2 linked regions of the Lepisosteus oculatus genome follow. The protein of the gene in region 2 interacts with the protein of the main gene of each other region in a pairwise test. Links are inferred from orthologs where the notes say so. Each region holds a gene or a part of one and is shown on either strand. Other genes may lie near its edges.

Evidence for each region. The genes of interacting proteins can lie anywhere in the genome.
Region 1: the proteins of pomp (region 2) and psmb8a interact in a two-hybrid assay, tested with the Homo sapiens proteins (2 studies listed by BioGRID). The link is inferred for Lepisosteus oculatus from reciprocal best matches to the Homo sapiens genes POMP and PSMB8.

The regions. Positions count from the first base shown.
Region 1 is NC_090709.1:38,622,675-38,630,241, reverse strand, and holds the start of psmb8a (proteasome subunit beta type-8), read left to right. Parts: upstream 1-4,545; 5' UTR 4,546-4,908; coding exon 4,909-5,055; intron 5,056-7,567. Other genes in the region: psmb13a (proteasome 20S subunit beta 13a), read left to right, coding at 1-140, 969-1,084, 1,418-1,476, 1,817-1,968, 2,988-3,099. UniProt on the Homo sapiens protein: The proteasome is a multicatalytic proteinase complex which is characterized by its ability to cleave peptides with Arg, Phe, Tyr, Leu, and Glu adjacent to the leaving group at neutral or slightly basic pH.
Region 2 is NC_090700.1:1,688,835-1,696,389, reverse strand, and holds pomp (proteasome maturation protein), read left to right. Parts: upstream 1-4,549; 5' UTR 4,550-4,654; coding exon 4,655-4,657; intron 4,658-5,495; coding exon 5,496-5,596; intron 5,597-6,017; coding exon 6,018-6,078; intron 6,079-6,358; coding exon 6,359-6,460; intron 6,461-6,719; coding exon 6,720-6,813; intron 6,814-7,049; coding exon 7,050-7,117; 3' UTR 7,118-7,274; downstream 7,275-7,555. Other genes in the region: c5h11orf65 (protein MFI), read left to right, coding at 399-611, 1,158-1,291, 1,464-1,634, 2,209-2,264, 3,324-3,526. UniProt on the Homo sapiens protein: Molecular chaperone essential for the assembly of standard proteasomes and immunoproteasomes. Degraded after completion of proteasome maturation. Mediates the association of 20S preproteasome with the endoplasmic reticulum.

The sequences.
Region 1 (7,567 bases), on a different chromosome or scaffold from region 2:
TGCTGCGGCGCCGGGACGGCGGCAGACACCGAGAAGACCACCGAGCTGCTGTCCTCCAACCTGTCCATCTTCTCCCTGAACAGCGGGCGCAACCCCAGGGTCGTCATGGCCACCAGCATCCTGCAGGACATGCTCTTCAGGTCAGTGTGTGTGTGTGTGTGTGTGTGTGTGAACCCCAGGGTCGTCATGGCCACCAGCATCCTGCAGGACATGCTCTTCAGGTCAGTGTGTGTGTGTGTGTGTGTGTGTGAACCCCAGGGTGGTCATGGCCACCAGCATCCTGCAGGACATGCTCTTCAGGTCAGTGTGTGTGTGTGTGTGTTTGTGTGTGTGTTCATGTGTGTGTGTGTGTGTGTGAACCCCAGGGTGGTCATGGCCACCAGCATCCTGCAGGACATGCTCTTCAGGTCAGTGTGTGTGTGTGTGTGTGTGTGTGAACCCCAGGGTGGTCATGGCCACCAGCATCCTGCAGGACATGCTCTTCAGGTCAGTGTGTGTGTGTGTGTGTGTGAGTGTGTGTGTGTGTGAAGCCCAGAGTCGTCATGGCCACCAGCATCCTGCAGGACATGCTCTTCAGGTCAGTGTGTGTGTGTGTGTGAGTGTGTGTGTGTGAAGCCCAGGGTCGTCATGGCCACCAGCATCCTGCAGGACATGCTCTTCAGGTCAGTGTGTGTGTGTGTGTGTGTGTGTGAACCCCAGGGTGGTCATGGCCACCAGCATCCTGCAGGACATGCTCTTCAGGTCAGTGTGTGTGTGTGTGTGTGTGTGAACCCCAGGGTGGTCATGGCCACCAGCATCCTGCAGGACATGCTCTTCAGGTCAGTGTGTGTGTGTGTGTGTGAACCCCAGGGTGGTCATGGCCACCAGCATCCTGCAGGACATGCTCTTCAGGTCAGTGTGTGTGTGTGTGTGAAGCCCAGGGTGACTCAGGGTGGACGATCTGAGTCAGGGTGTGTCTGTGTGTCCAGGTACCGCGGTCAGATCGGGGCGTACCTGCTGCTGGGCGGAGTGGACGTCACTGGAGCTCACCTGTACACAGTGGGGCCGTACGGGAGTGTCGACAACATGCCCTTCAAGGCCATGGGTGAGCATCCGGTCAGCCGGCTCTGTGTGCGTGCGTGTGTGTGTGTGTGTGCGTACCTGCAGGACTCCTCCTGACTCGGACTCAGCTGTGCTGCAGTGATGAACGAGGCCCAGAGGGTGACAGGGAGAACTGACCGCTTCTGATAGACTGACCACTCCTGACCGACTGACTGACCGCCCCAGTCTGACTGACTGACCACCCCAGACTGACTGACCGCTCCTGACTGACTGACTGACTGACTGACTGACTGCCTGCCCCAGACTGACTGACCGCTCCTGACTGACTGACTGACTGACCGCCCCAGGCCGACTGACCGCTCGGTGCTGTCCACAGGCTCGGGGGACCTGCCCGCGATGGGGGTGCTGGAGGACGGCTTCAGGACCGACATGGAGGTGAGTTTGAGGACGAGTCCACCCCCAGCCTACAGTCCAGCCCAGTGAGAGCAGGGTAAAAACACAGTCCAGCTCAGTGAGATCAGAGTAAAAACACAGTCCAGCGCAGTAAAGCCCAGTGAGAGCAGGGTAAAAACACAGTACAGTGCAGTAGAGCCCAGTGAGATCAGGGTAAAAACACAGTACAGCCCGGAGAAATCAGGGTAAAAACAATGTACAGCGCAGAACAGCCCAGTGAGATCAGGGTAAAAACCCAGTACAGCCCAGTACAGCCCAGTGAGATCAGATGCAGATGGAGGTCAGACGTGTCGGCCGTCAGTAAGACTGCTGCTCTCTGCAGCTGGACGATGCCAAGCGCCTGGTCAGAGACGCCGTCCACGCAGGGGTCATGAGTGACCTGGGCTCGGGCAGCAACATCGACCTGTGTGTCATCACCCGGGCAGGAGTGGAGTACCTGCGGCCCTACGAGGAGTCCCAGTACAAGGACACCAGGTACTGGCTCAGAGCAGTGTCTGTATGAACCCCTCTCTCTCTCAGTGTGTCTGTGTGAACCCCTCTCTCTCTCAGTGTGTCTGTGTGAACCCCTCTCTCTCTCAGTGCAGTGTTCATGTACTGGAGTGTCCAGTCAGTGTGTGTGTATGAACCCCTCTCTCTCTCAGTGCAGTGTTCATGTACTGGAGTGTCCAGTCAGTGTGTCTGTATGAACCCCTCTCTCTCTCAGTGCAGTGTTCATGTACTGGAGTGTCCAGTCAGTGTGTGTGTATGAACCCCTCTCTCTCTCAGTGCAGTGTTCATGTACTGGAGTGTCCAGTCAGTGTGTGTGTATGAACCCCTCTCTCTCTCAGTGCAGTGTTCATGTACTGGAGTGTCCAGTCAGTGTGTCTGTATGAACCCCTCTCTCTCTCAGTGCAGTGTTCATGTACTGGAGTGTCCAGTCAGTGTGTGTGTATGAACCCCTCTCTCTCTCAGTGCAGTGTTCATGTACTGGAGTGTCCAGTCAGTGTGTCTGTATGAACCCCTCTCTCTCTCAGTGCAGTGTTCATGTACTGGAGTGTCCAGTCAGGGTGTGTGTATGAACCCCTCTCTCTCTCAGTGCAGTGTTCATGTACTGGAGTGTCCAGTCAGTGTGTCTGTGTGAACCCCTCTCTCTCTCAGTGCAGTGTTCATGTACTGGAGTGTCCAGTCAGTGTGTCTGTATGAACCCCTCTCTCTCTCAGTGAGTGTTAATGTACTGGAGTGTCCAGTCAGTGTGTCTGTATGAACCCCTCTCTCTCTCAGTGCAGTGTTCATGTACTGGAGTGTCCAGTCAGTGTGTGTGTATGAACCCCTCTCTCTCTCAGTGCAGTGTTCATGTACTGGAGTGTCCAGTCAGTGTGTCTGTGTGAACCCCTCTCTCTCTCAGTGCAGTGTTCATGTACTGGAGTGTCCAGTCAGTGTGTGTGTATGAACCCCTCTCTCTCTCAGTGCAGTGTCAGTGTACTGGAGTGTATTAACCCGTCTCTCTCTCTCAGACAGAGGAAGTATAAGTACTGTCCTGGGACGACTCCGGTTCTCCGTGAGACAGTTTCTCCTCTGGAGATGGAGCTGGTCCAGGAGACAGTGCAGCTCATGGACACACACTGAGCAACACGACAACCCAGCAACACAGCAGCAGAACAGTGTCACAATCGCACAACAGCACGGGACTTCCACAGCGACACAACAGAACAGGTTACACAGTCACTCTCCAGACGTGTGTGTGAAACAGCCCTGGGGTGTGTCTGTGAGCAGAGCAGGGCGACACTGTTGTATTTGTGTGTCTTCAGAATGAACCACTGTTTACTGTATACCTGTGATTCCTGGTTAATAAAGACTCAGTTCTGAACTACCCCCAGCTGTGTTACTCTGTGTGTAGAGTCACTGTGCCTGACTGCGTTACTCTGTGTGTGGAGTCACTGTGTCTGACTGTGTTACTCTGTGTGTAGTATTACTGTGTTACTCTGTGTGTGGAATCACTGTGTCTGATGCGTTACTCTGTGTGTGGAGTCACTGTGTCTGACTGCGTTACTCTTTGTGTGGAGTCACTGTGTCTGACTGTGTTACTCTGTGTGTAGTATTACTGTGTTACTCTGTGTGTGGAGTCACTGTGTCTGACTGCGTTACTCTGTGTGGAGTCACTGTGTCTGACTGTGTTACTCTGTGTGTGGAGTCACTGTGTCTGACTGTGTTACTCCGTGTGTGGAGTCACTGTGTCTGAATGCGTTACTCTGTGTGTAGAGTCACTGTGTCTGACTGCGTTACTCTGTGTGTAGTATTACTGTGTTACTCTGTGTGGAGTCGCTGTGTCTGACTGCGTTACTCTGTGTGTGGAGTCACTGTGTCTGACTGCGTTACTCTGTGTGTAGAGTCACTGTGTCTGACTGCGTTACTCTGTGTGTAGTATTACTGTATTACTCTGTGTGGAGTCGCTGTGTCTGACTGTGTTACTCTGTGTGTGGAGTCACTGTGTCTGACTGTGTTAGTCTGTGTGTAGTATTACTGTGTTACTCTGTGTGTGGAGTCACTGTGTCTGACTGCGTTACTCCGTGTGTGGAGTCACTGTGTCTGACTGCGTTACTCCGTGTGTGGTATTACTGCGTTACTCTGTGTGTGGAGTCACTGTGTCTGACTGTGTTACTCTGTGTGTGGAGTCACTGTGTCTGACTGTGTTACTCCGTGTGTGGTATTACTGTGTTACTCTGTGTGTGGAGTCACTGTGTCTGACTGTGTTACTCCGTGTGTGGTATTACTGTGTTACTCTGTGTGTAGAGTCACTGTGTCACGAGGTTACTGTGCCTCTGTAACCTGTCCCAGTACCCTGTCAGGGTCAACCGGTCCTGTAAGCTGTCCCAGTACCCTGTCGGTGTTTCCTTTCCCAGTAAGGTGTCCCAGCACCCCCTGCCGGTGTTTCCTGTCCCAGTAACCTGTCCCGCACGGTTCTGCCTGGCAGGCGGTGACGTGGCGCTGCTCGCTCTCCCCATTGGCCCGCCGGCCCCGGGGGGGCGGGGCCGCCCGCTCTGATTTCCCTGCGGCCGCCCGCTGCGCCCCCTGGCGGACAGCGCCGGAGCCCGGAGACTGGACCCCGGACCCGGAGCCCGCCGCTGTCCAGCGGCCTCCGCCGGACACGGCCCGCTCCCGCCCCGGACCGGGAGCTGGACCGCCGGTTCCGAGCGGAGCACGGGGCCCGCCAGTCTCGGCCTCGGCCCCCGCTCTGCAGTGGAAACCGAAACCAAAGGGTTCCGCCCCCGAACCGCTTTCGGTTTCGGTTCAGATCCAGGAAGCTGCTCGGAGACACGAGCTCGCTCCCCTCTCAGGCAGTCGGCCGTCCCGTATCCTCGCCGCTCGATCAAGCTGATCGATACCGGATCGATATTACCCGAACCGCCCGTCCCGAACCGTCCGTACACCCGAACTATGGCTTTAACCGACGTCTGCGGCTACAACTTCCGAGCCGGACTCGGAGAGCAGCTCTCCGGAACCGGCCGGGCTGCCTTGGACCGGACCAGCCACTACAGCTTCGGAACCGAGCGGCAGGAGTTCGCGGTGCCGCTGGGAGTGGACGTGAGTCGCAGCCGAACCGCCGAGCCGCCGAACCGGGCTGGCCCTCCCCCGGGTGCCGGGACGGAACCCGCGGCCCCGAGCGCGCCTCTCGGTTCGGACCCGTGTCCAGGTGAAACACGCGTGTTCCCGCACCCGTGGGGGTCTGGGGTCCGGCTTCCACGTGCGGTGTGGGGCGAGACCGGGGACACGCGGGCAGCGCATGCGCTCCAGCGGTGTTAATGAGGCTTTTCCCCCCAGAAAAACACATTAAACTCCCGGGGGCTGATCGCACAGATCAGCAGCTGATAACACCGCTGATGACTGACTGCTCTGCTGGCTGTTGACACTGCTGAGTGCTTCAGCCCTGTCACTCAAGAGCACCGAGTCTCTGCTCATACCAGTACAACTGCATCACTCTCACCCATTGCCCTGTACGGCAGTGAAGTGTGGGGTCCCCTCACAGACCAGGAGTACACCCAATGGGACAAACACCCCACAGAAACTCTGCACATGGAGATCTGTAGAATCATCCTCCGTGTGCAGAGAAAAACTCCTAACAACGGGTGCAGGGCCGAATTAGGCCAGTACCCACTATTGATAAACATACAGAAAAGAGTATTAAAGTATTGGCTACACCTAAAAAACAGCGACCAAAATTCCTACCACCACAAAGCCCTGCTGAGCCAAGAGCTGAGCCCAAAACAGAGCCCCCTGAGCCAGCTGGTCCTGAGGCTCACTGACCTGAGCCACACCGACACTAACCAGCCTCAGGACAGCACTGCTAGAGCACCACAACCCAGACTCACCACATCACAGCACAATACACACAACTCACAACCAGCCTCAGGACAGCACTGCTAGAGCACCACAACCCAGACTCAAGCCCATCACAGCACAATACACACAACACACAACCAGCCTCAGGACAGCACTGCTAGAGCACCACAACCCAGACTCAAGCCCATCACAGCACAATACACACAACACACAACCAGCCTCAGGACAGCACTGCTAGAGCACCACAACCCAGACTCAAGCCCATCACAGCACAATACACACAACACACAACCAGCCTCAGGACAGCACTGCTAGAGCACCACAACCCAGACTCAAGCCCATCACAGCACAATACACACAACACAAAACCAGCCTCAAGACAGCACTGCTAGAGCACCACAACCCAGACTCAAGCCCATCACAGCACAATACACACAACCAGCCTCAGGACAGCACTGCTAGAGCACCACAACCCAGACTCAAGCCCATCACAGCACAATACACACAACCAGCCTCAGGACAGCACTGCTAGAGCACCACAACCCAGACTCAAGCCCATCACAGCACAATACACACAACACACAACCAGCCTCAGGACAGCACTGCTAGAGCACCACAACCCAGACTCAACCACATCACAGCACAATACACACAACACACAACCAGCCTCAGGACAGCACTGCTAGAGCACCACAACCCAGACTCAACCACATCACAGCACAATACACACAACACACAACCAGCCTCAGGACAGCACTGCTAGAGCACCACAACCCAGACTCAAGCCCATCACAGCACAATACACACAACACACAACCAGCCTCAGGACAGCACTGCTAGAGCACCACAGCTCAGACTCAACCACATCACAGCACAGATCAAACAGCAATATCTCACACACTGGGACACACACACACAAACACAACATAAACTGGAATGCTACAGAACCTTAAACAGACAATACACACTAGCTGAATATTTGACCAAAATAAAAAACAACAAACAGAAACAGACCCCGACGAAGTACAGGCTCAGTGACCACAACCTGGCCATAGAAACTGGATACAGGCAAACCTGGCTGCCCAGAGAGGACAGGCTCAGTGACCACAGCCTGGACACACACACTGGACACAGGCAGACCTGGCTGCCCAGAGAGGACAGGCTCAGTGACCACAGCCTGGACACAGACACTGGATACAGGCAGACCTGGCTGCCCAGAGAGGACAGGCTCAGTGACCACAGCCTGGACACAGACACTGGACACAGGCAGACCTGGCTGCCCAGAGAGGACAGGCTGTGCTCCCACTGCCAGCGGGGAGAGATAGAGACAGAGGTGCACTTCCTACTGCACTGGGACAGATACTCTGGGATTAGAGAAACATTCTTCCTGAAATTCAGAAATCTAATCCCAGAGTTCCCACCCCTGCCAAAACCACAACAGGTCCCAATCCTACTGGGAGAGGGAGGAGGGAACTCAGTTGATCTGGCAGCCCAGTATGTGATCTCCTGTCACAGCCTGAGGACCAGTGAGTCTGTCTCCCAATAATGCTCCAGCCGCCTACAGTATATGTCAATATTTTATAATATGTCTTTGTTGTAAATGTCTGTAACATGTCTGTAGATTTTATTTTACTTCTATTTTTTGTTTTGTTCTATGTTAATTTTATTATTTTTATTTGCTTTGGCAACACTGATTGTACCCATCGGTCATGCTAATAAAGCACCTTGAATTGAACTGAATTGAATTGAGAGACCC
Region 2 (7,555 bases):
TCCCCATCACTATACTGGGGCATTAGGACCCACACAGACTGCAGGGTGAGCGCCCCCTTCTGGCCCCACTAACACCTCTTCTAGCAGCAACCTTAGCTTTCCCAGGAGTCTCCCATCCAGGTACTGGCCAGGCTCACACTGCTGAGCTCCTGTGAGCTGCCAGTGGTGAGTTGCAGGGTGATATGGCTGCTGGCCAGTTTCTGACCAGTTTCTGGCCATTATAACAGCACACTTAGAACTCCTTGTCTATAAAAATAAAATGTTTGCTTTAGTCTTTATTTGTGGCAAGGTTTCACTGTGACCTCTAACAGTTCGACCCCTCACACTTTCAGATGAATGCAAAACGTGGGGTTGCTGTTCTTTTGTGTTCAGGATTCGTTTTTTACCCCCCTTTTCAGACAAAATTTCCTCCAAGCATCTACTACAAGATATTCACGCACCGCCCGATAGTGGACATGTGCGCCAACAGCCCCAAGGACTACACCTGCCCCGCAGCCAGGCGGCCCCTGCCGGGGCAAATCCACAACCGCGGGCGGGCTGCGGGGCAGGAGGACCGCTCGGGCTGGTACCGGCGGGAGGAGAACAACGGCTGGAGGCTCCTCTCGGGCAAGGTGCGGCGGGGCCCTCCCGCGGGGCCGCACTGCTGAGCCAGGCCTGCGGGGGGCGCTCTCCCCCTGCGCCTGCGTCCACCCGGCCACGCGCCCGCTCACGGGCCGTTCAGAGACCAGAGCACCTGGCGGACATGTAAACCACACCCAAGGGGCCAAAATTCATCCCTGAACTCAAGACCCCCTCTTCTCTTCGTATTAGTCTGCTAGAGTGCGCTACATCATGGTCCTCATTAGTGTGATTACTGAATTTGCACTTTGTATAGATCCAGGCACATATTTGTCCACTGCATGGGACATGACATTCTCGGCAAAAACAAGAATAACAGAATCTGGAAATACTCAGAGCAGGTCCTATTATTGTATACACTTGCAAAGGAATAACCCCTTTTTTTCTGTGAAGTTCCGACCACTTATTAATCCCTTCGATCGATTTTGGTTTTTTGCTTGTTTCTTTGTTCAAAAATGAAGTTGCGTTATGTAACTTATTTCCTTTTTCACGAAGGTGTGATACGCTGCTCTTGTGTTTCTGTCCGTTGCTGTTATAAGATTTGGTTAATGGGCGACCCCGTAACACTGGACTCTGCCGCGAAGAAAACGGAATTCCATTACTCCAGGATCCAGAGGCGCCAGGAAGTAGGGAGAAGGAGGAAGCAGAGGAAAATTGACTGGATGAAAAAGATGTGAGTTTATTATTGACTAGGTCAAATTCAGGGGGTGAGTTTTATTACTCCCCAGGTGCCAGGAGTAAACCTTGCCGTGGCTCCACATAAACATTCTAGAGGTTTGAGAAATTGCCCTGCATTAGCAGAAGGCGCTGCTGGCTGATGAGTGGCATCTGTGTGCACTGCCCAGGTATGAAGACGGCCTCCTGCAGGCCCGCACAGAGGACCCTGACGCGGCTCTGCTCGTGGACAAGGCCGCAGAGGGCATGATGGCGGCGGTGGATCAGCTGGGGCCCAGCCACGTGCTGGAGTGGGAAGTGGACGAGCTGCTGGAGTGGACCAACTCCCTCAACTTCGAAGAGTGAGTCGCCGCCGTGCAGACGCACAGGCCCGCCTCCCTGGCGGTCAGGTCAGCCGTATTGTCAAGTGTCCTGCCCTCGTGTGCTGCCACAGAAGGTCCTGGTACATGTCAGTCAAAATGCCAGTTTAGTGCTGCAATTACATGAATATATCAAATCAAGTCAGTTCCAAGTCCCACCCCTTTTCCCAATTTGAACACAAGAAACTCTCTTGCTGTACGGATTTGAAGCATATCAAACAGCACTCCTGCGTCGCTTGATTAAATATAATTATATTATGATATAAATCTATTATATATATTTCAAACATGCTCTATGCGAACCACCTTTGCCTTTCTCTCTACATCTCTGTCTCCTTTTCTTTCTCTGTCATATACACACAATCGACTTTCAGTAGAAACGTCTTGCTCTTTTGAACACTTAGAGTTAAACATGGACCACATGTTTTGGAATACCTGCTGAAAAGCAGCAGTAGAATGTACAGTATTTATAAATGCAATGGAAGTGTTGTACTAAATTAATGAGACCCATGGGAAAAACTTTGCTCTTAGTTTAGTCTTCTTTTCTGTATTTCAGGTACATGAATGGATGGAAGGAAACAGCAATGAGTGGTTTTTCAGAGTCCTATAAAGGTAAAAAAGAGAACTTATGATGAAGAAGATTACTGGAGAAAAATACCCGTGTGCACTGACACACACAATGATAGACATGAAAAACACACATTCCTGATAACATACTTCTGAGTTTTAGATAGTGTAGAATAAAGTTTACCAGATTTGTAATTACTTGTCTTTCTCCTTTTTGTGATTAAACATTTGGAAGGATTACTACACTGGTGGTTGTCTCCCATGCTGGAAACTAGTTGTTAAACATTATTTTTATATAATATATTATATGTATATATTATTTTTATATGATTGTTGTATGATCATTTGACCATTATTGTGTTTTACAAACACAAGACTTTGGAAAGCTATCATTTGGGAGTTCAGTTTCTTCTCGTTCAAAACTATTTCTGTTCTTTTCAAGTCATAATTTTTTAATGTTTGAAGACCAAATATTGAACTCAAACACTTTCTTTCTATAACAACAATTTATAGTTTTAATTAATTTAGAAAACTGAAGATTTAGAACTTTAGAAAACTGATGTGATACAATGAGAAGAAAGCAGACTGCAGACTGAATTCAGTGTCTAGTACTCTGTATAAGTACTGTAGTTAAAATTAAAGTCCATCCCAGAGACACATCAGCTCCTCGGGATAAAGTTCATCCTGGTTTCTGCAGCATTAAGCAGACTAGCGAGCATGTGACTCCCCTTGCAGGGGATGCCAGTCCATCACAGGGAGCGTCCTGCATGCTGCTCCCCACATAATACATGTTGGACTGAATAATACATAATAAATTGAGTTGGACTGAAGCAGCCGGGGTAAAGAACCTCTATCTGGGGCAGGGGCTGAGTCCGGGGGGTAACCCACTACGATTTGCCACCCCTGTCAAATTCAAAAGAAATACTTTAAATAAATCACTTGTCAGAGCTGCGGTGAGAAAGCTCTGCTTTGTAGTTGAAACCACATGGAGTTCTAAGCAAAAGACATTTTCCGTGCAGGACTGCGTGGGAGTTGCTATGTTATGCTGTGTTACAGCCCTTTCTGCTGCCAGCGCTTTGACACGGTGGCCTGTCTCTGTTACAGGTTCGAGGCTCGTCGTCTCCCAGCACGACCAGTGCGAGTTCACGCGGTTCTCCCGGGAGGGCAGTCAGGCAGCCGCCGACTGCAGCGCCCTCACCTGTCACGTCTCCAGCCAGTACCAGTCTTACAGCACCCCCCTGCTCTCCAGGGCTAGCATGGCAGAGCACGGCTCCCACAGCAGACAGATAAAGCAGCTGCCACTTTAGACAGACAGGAGTGGAGTGTCCAGTGTGCACCGAAGTACAGCGCTCTCCCGTTAGGAGGCCATGACAGCTTTCCCCTGCTTACTCATGTTTCGGTTCGTGCCAGAAAACTGATGGTGTTCTGATGGTGAAAACTGAAGGGCTCTGGCTCTTCATCAGGGTAAATATTTAACGTGATTAATCTGTTCCTTCAGGGTACTATTTTCAACAAGATATATCAATGGTAACGAAGGTCTGAAAATGTAGTACACGTTCATATGACCTGTCCCTGTTTTAAATGAAAATTATTTTCCCCCATGTTTGAATTCTCAATATTTTACACGCGTTGCCCCAAGACACTGTCATTTTCCATGCTGATTCCTAATAAAGCTGTATGTGGAGCTTTTTTGTGTCTTATGTCTGTGGATCCTCTGTTTCACTGAGGCCGGCTGACTCTAGGGTCTGTTTCTCAGTAAACTAGACGTACATCAAGGCATCAGCAGTCTGCAGCCTGCTCCCTGGCACCTCCAGAATGAGTAAGAACTGGGAACACCCCTGTGCTCTGTGCTGGATGCTGAGATGTGTCAAATGTATGAGTCAGTGCTAGTATTATATGGGTGTCGTCCTAAACTAGAATAAAAAACTGGATTGACAGTACACAGTTGTGTTTATACAGGTTCATGTAAAACCAAAAAAGCACTTCAATTATGATCCCTTCTATTTTAATAATAATAATAATAATAATAATGTAAAAAGATGGTGTTTTTGAATTTTACACAAAAAAAAGAGGGGGCACCCGGATTTGAACCGGGGACCTCTTGATCTGCAGTCAAATGCTCTACCACTGAGCTATACCCCCTGTCTGCGAAACGCCTGCCGATGGCCTATACAAATCAACTGTGTGTATCGCCGTTTTCTAATGTAATTTTAAAAATTGTAATATTAGAACTATGTGTTGCCCGCAAGTACTTAATGAAAGCAAAGTTAAACTTAATTGTTTCTAAGCTGATAGATGAAGATTTCTATCTTCGTTTCGGACTTTTCAGAGCTGCCATCAGCGGAAGCATCGTCATTTGTCACGTGTGAGGGGTACCGGTGAGCCGGAAGTACTCGGTGTGGGGTCATTAGGAAGAAAGAAGCCGCCGGATCAGTATGGTGAGATGAGTTTTTATTTAAAAATCTCTTGTTATAGGGAACGTGTGATTTACATGTTGCTCTTAAGCCAAGATACTTTTAACGGATTTTGTCAGCGTTACACTGAAGCTGACGTGATTGTACAAGAGGTTCATTTAGCTGAGTTTTGATTAGTCACTGCTCTCCGCGAGTTCAGTTGTTCACGTCAAAATATGTCTCGGGCCTTGTTTATTCCCGTGCGTTGCTGAATTAACAGGCACTAATGTGGTATCTACTCATCAGTCTTAAAGATTTGTTGGTTACCAACGTGACAATCAAGCGTACTTTGTGAATACACGGAGCGACGCGAAACTGAAAGTGCTCTGGTCCTGATTTGCAGTATCATTGCTCTTGGGACACTGGTTATCCGACTGTCGCGGTAAAATGCCCAAATCCTGTCGGTGATCTTGACTCCCTGCAGGAGTCACTTTAACCCTGGGGTCGCTCTGGAGTGGTGAGGTTACTGTCCATCACCCGGGCGGGTGAACTGAGTCCTCTCATTCCTACACAACAAGTACATGGGATGAATAGGGTCATTGTTCATCATTACTGTCACATCACAGGCTTTCACACTGGGAGAGTTCTGGACAGGTATATAAATTCAAGGATTTATTAATAATTGGATTTGGGGTGAAATGCATTGCTTACACACCTGAGCGGTCTCTGAGATTCTCCATTTGAGAACCATTGTGATCAAGGTCAGTCTGCGGTTGATCTTTTAACGGGCGATGTCGTGTTGTGGGACAGTAGACTAAGCTGCCCCACAGTTCTTTGACAGTCCCTGCCAAGCGCTGCTCATGGGGGCACTGCTGTATTTCAGAATACTAGAGGTCTTCGATCACAGCTGAAGGACAGCATCCCCGTCACAGGGCTGTGTCCGCAGTCGGGAACCTATGGCGTACCTGACACACTGCGCAAGGGGTGAGTGACCGCTCCGTATCTCACTCGCGGTCTGGATCTTCGTGGTTCCTCTCTCAGACTCAGACCGACATGTCCCTTCCTTCCCATCGCTGGATTTGACTTCTTCATGAACGGGAAAAACATTCTTGCTTGTTCTTTTTAAAATGAAACCCATCCCATCATGGTCTGAAGAAAGAGCCTGTTGACTGCCCCACGAGTCGTTAATTGTGACTGCAGCTTTACAGGATAAAAATGTGAGCTGTTTCTTATGGCGTAGAATCAGTACTTCATTTATTTTTGAGGAGGAACTTTAATTAATTGGATTACGTCATTACAGAGCTAGGCCATAACATGTATGAATAAACTAGAAGTTGCAACGGTGTTTTTAGCAAATAGATTTTGATAGAGTCTGAAGTTTTCTGTCCTTGTCACTGGCTTTCAGCTTCTCCAGCGTGAAGAACGAACTCCTGCCCTCCCACCCCCTGGAGCTCTCCGAGAAGAACGTAAGTGTTTCAGCTGGTATGTGCACTGGTAACCGAGAAGTTTTACATTTAAGCACCATTTTACTGAAGTTGATTCTTAAAGTGGATGGCAGACCGATAATATAAAATATATATAATCATATTTTGTCAGCTTTACAATCCTGATTTAGCCCTTGGTGCTTTTCCTAAAATAGCCATAGTTCCCGTGTCTTTCGGGTTGTCATGTTGTAATAAACTACAGCTCTATGAAGTGCTACTATGTCAGACATTGCATTTAACATCGCTGCTTCGTTTCTGCTAGTTTCAGCTCAATCAAGACAAGATGAACTTTGCCACGCTCAGGAACATTCAGGGACTTCATGCACCTCTGAAACTGCAGATGGAGTACAAGGCAGCAAAACAGGTACCCTCTCACCAGCTGTCTTGAAGGGGGGTATGTTTTAGAACACATATGTTTAAGAAGCTCAGTCCAAAATTCACTTGGTTAAGTTAATAACCATACTAAAGGTGAACATCAGAATCTGCCTTTGCAAAATGTCATCCTTTGAAGTCAAGTGGAGATTAGTGATAAATGACATTATGCTTTTTTTTCTGTCACACTTTCAAAAGCTGTTTGTATCTATTGTACCCATAACAATATCCTGCATGCTGTGCTTTTCCAGATACAGCGTTTGCCCTTCCTTCAGAGTTCAAACATTGCACTAGATACTCTCAGAGGAAATGACGAGTACGTTGGTTTTGAGGACATATTGAACGGTAAGTATTCAGAACTCCCTACAGCAGTTTGAAGGATGGCGTTGGGTCATTAAACATTAACAGTTCCTGGAAGCTGAACCCCCATTTTACTCCAGGCAATGTTTCCTTTTTTCTGTAAACAGAAACCACCAGGGGTACACAGGGGACCATTGTGTGTGGACAGCTGGGCTTAGATTGATATTGAGAATCACTCTCCAACGGCTTTTATTTCAACTTGGTGTTTTTTTTATTCGCAGATCCAGCACAAAGTGAAGTCATGGGGGAGCCCCATGTCATGGTGGAATACAAAACGGGTTTGCTGTAAAAAAATTCACGTTACTCTGTGTGATTGTTTGACATAAGACAAATGTGCTTCTTTTTGCTATATTCTAACCATACAGGACAAAGTATTTTGCATGGTTAGAATCAAATTATCGTTTAAAGATTTCTAATAAAGCTTTGTTTGCTCTCTTTATTTAGTATTTTGGGTGTCAGACTTTGATTTCATTAACAGTATGCTTTTTTCAGTTAAAATGATCATGGACGTAAGGCTGTGCCACTTGTATAGCATGTTGGTATTGTCTGGTGAAAGATAGTATATAAAGGCATGAGTTGAACTTACCTCTGCAATGTTTAATACCAGTTTGGATGCCTTCAGGATTTCTGCCAAATACTTAATGTTGTTAAATCTAAAGCACATTAAACCTTTGAATACGTTTGTTTCCATGAACACACAAGGAAGACAAAACAGTGAAAAGATTTC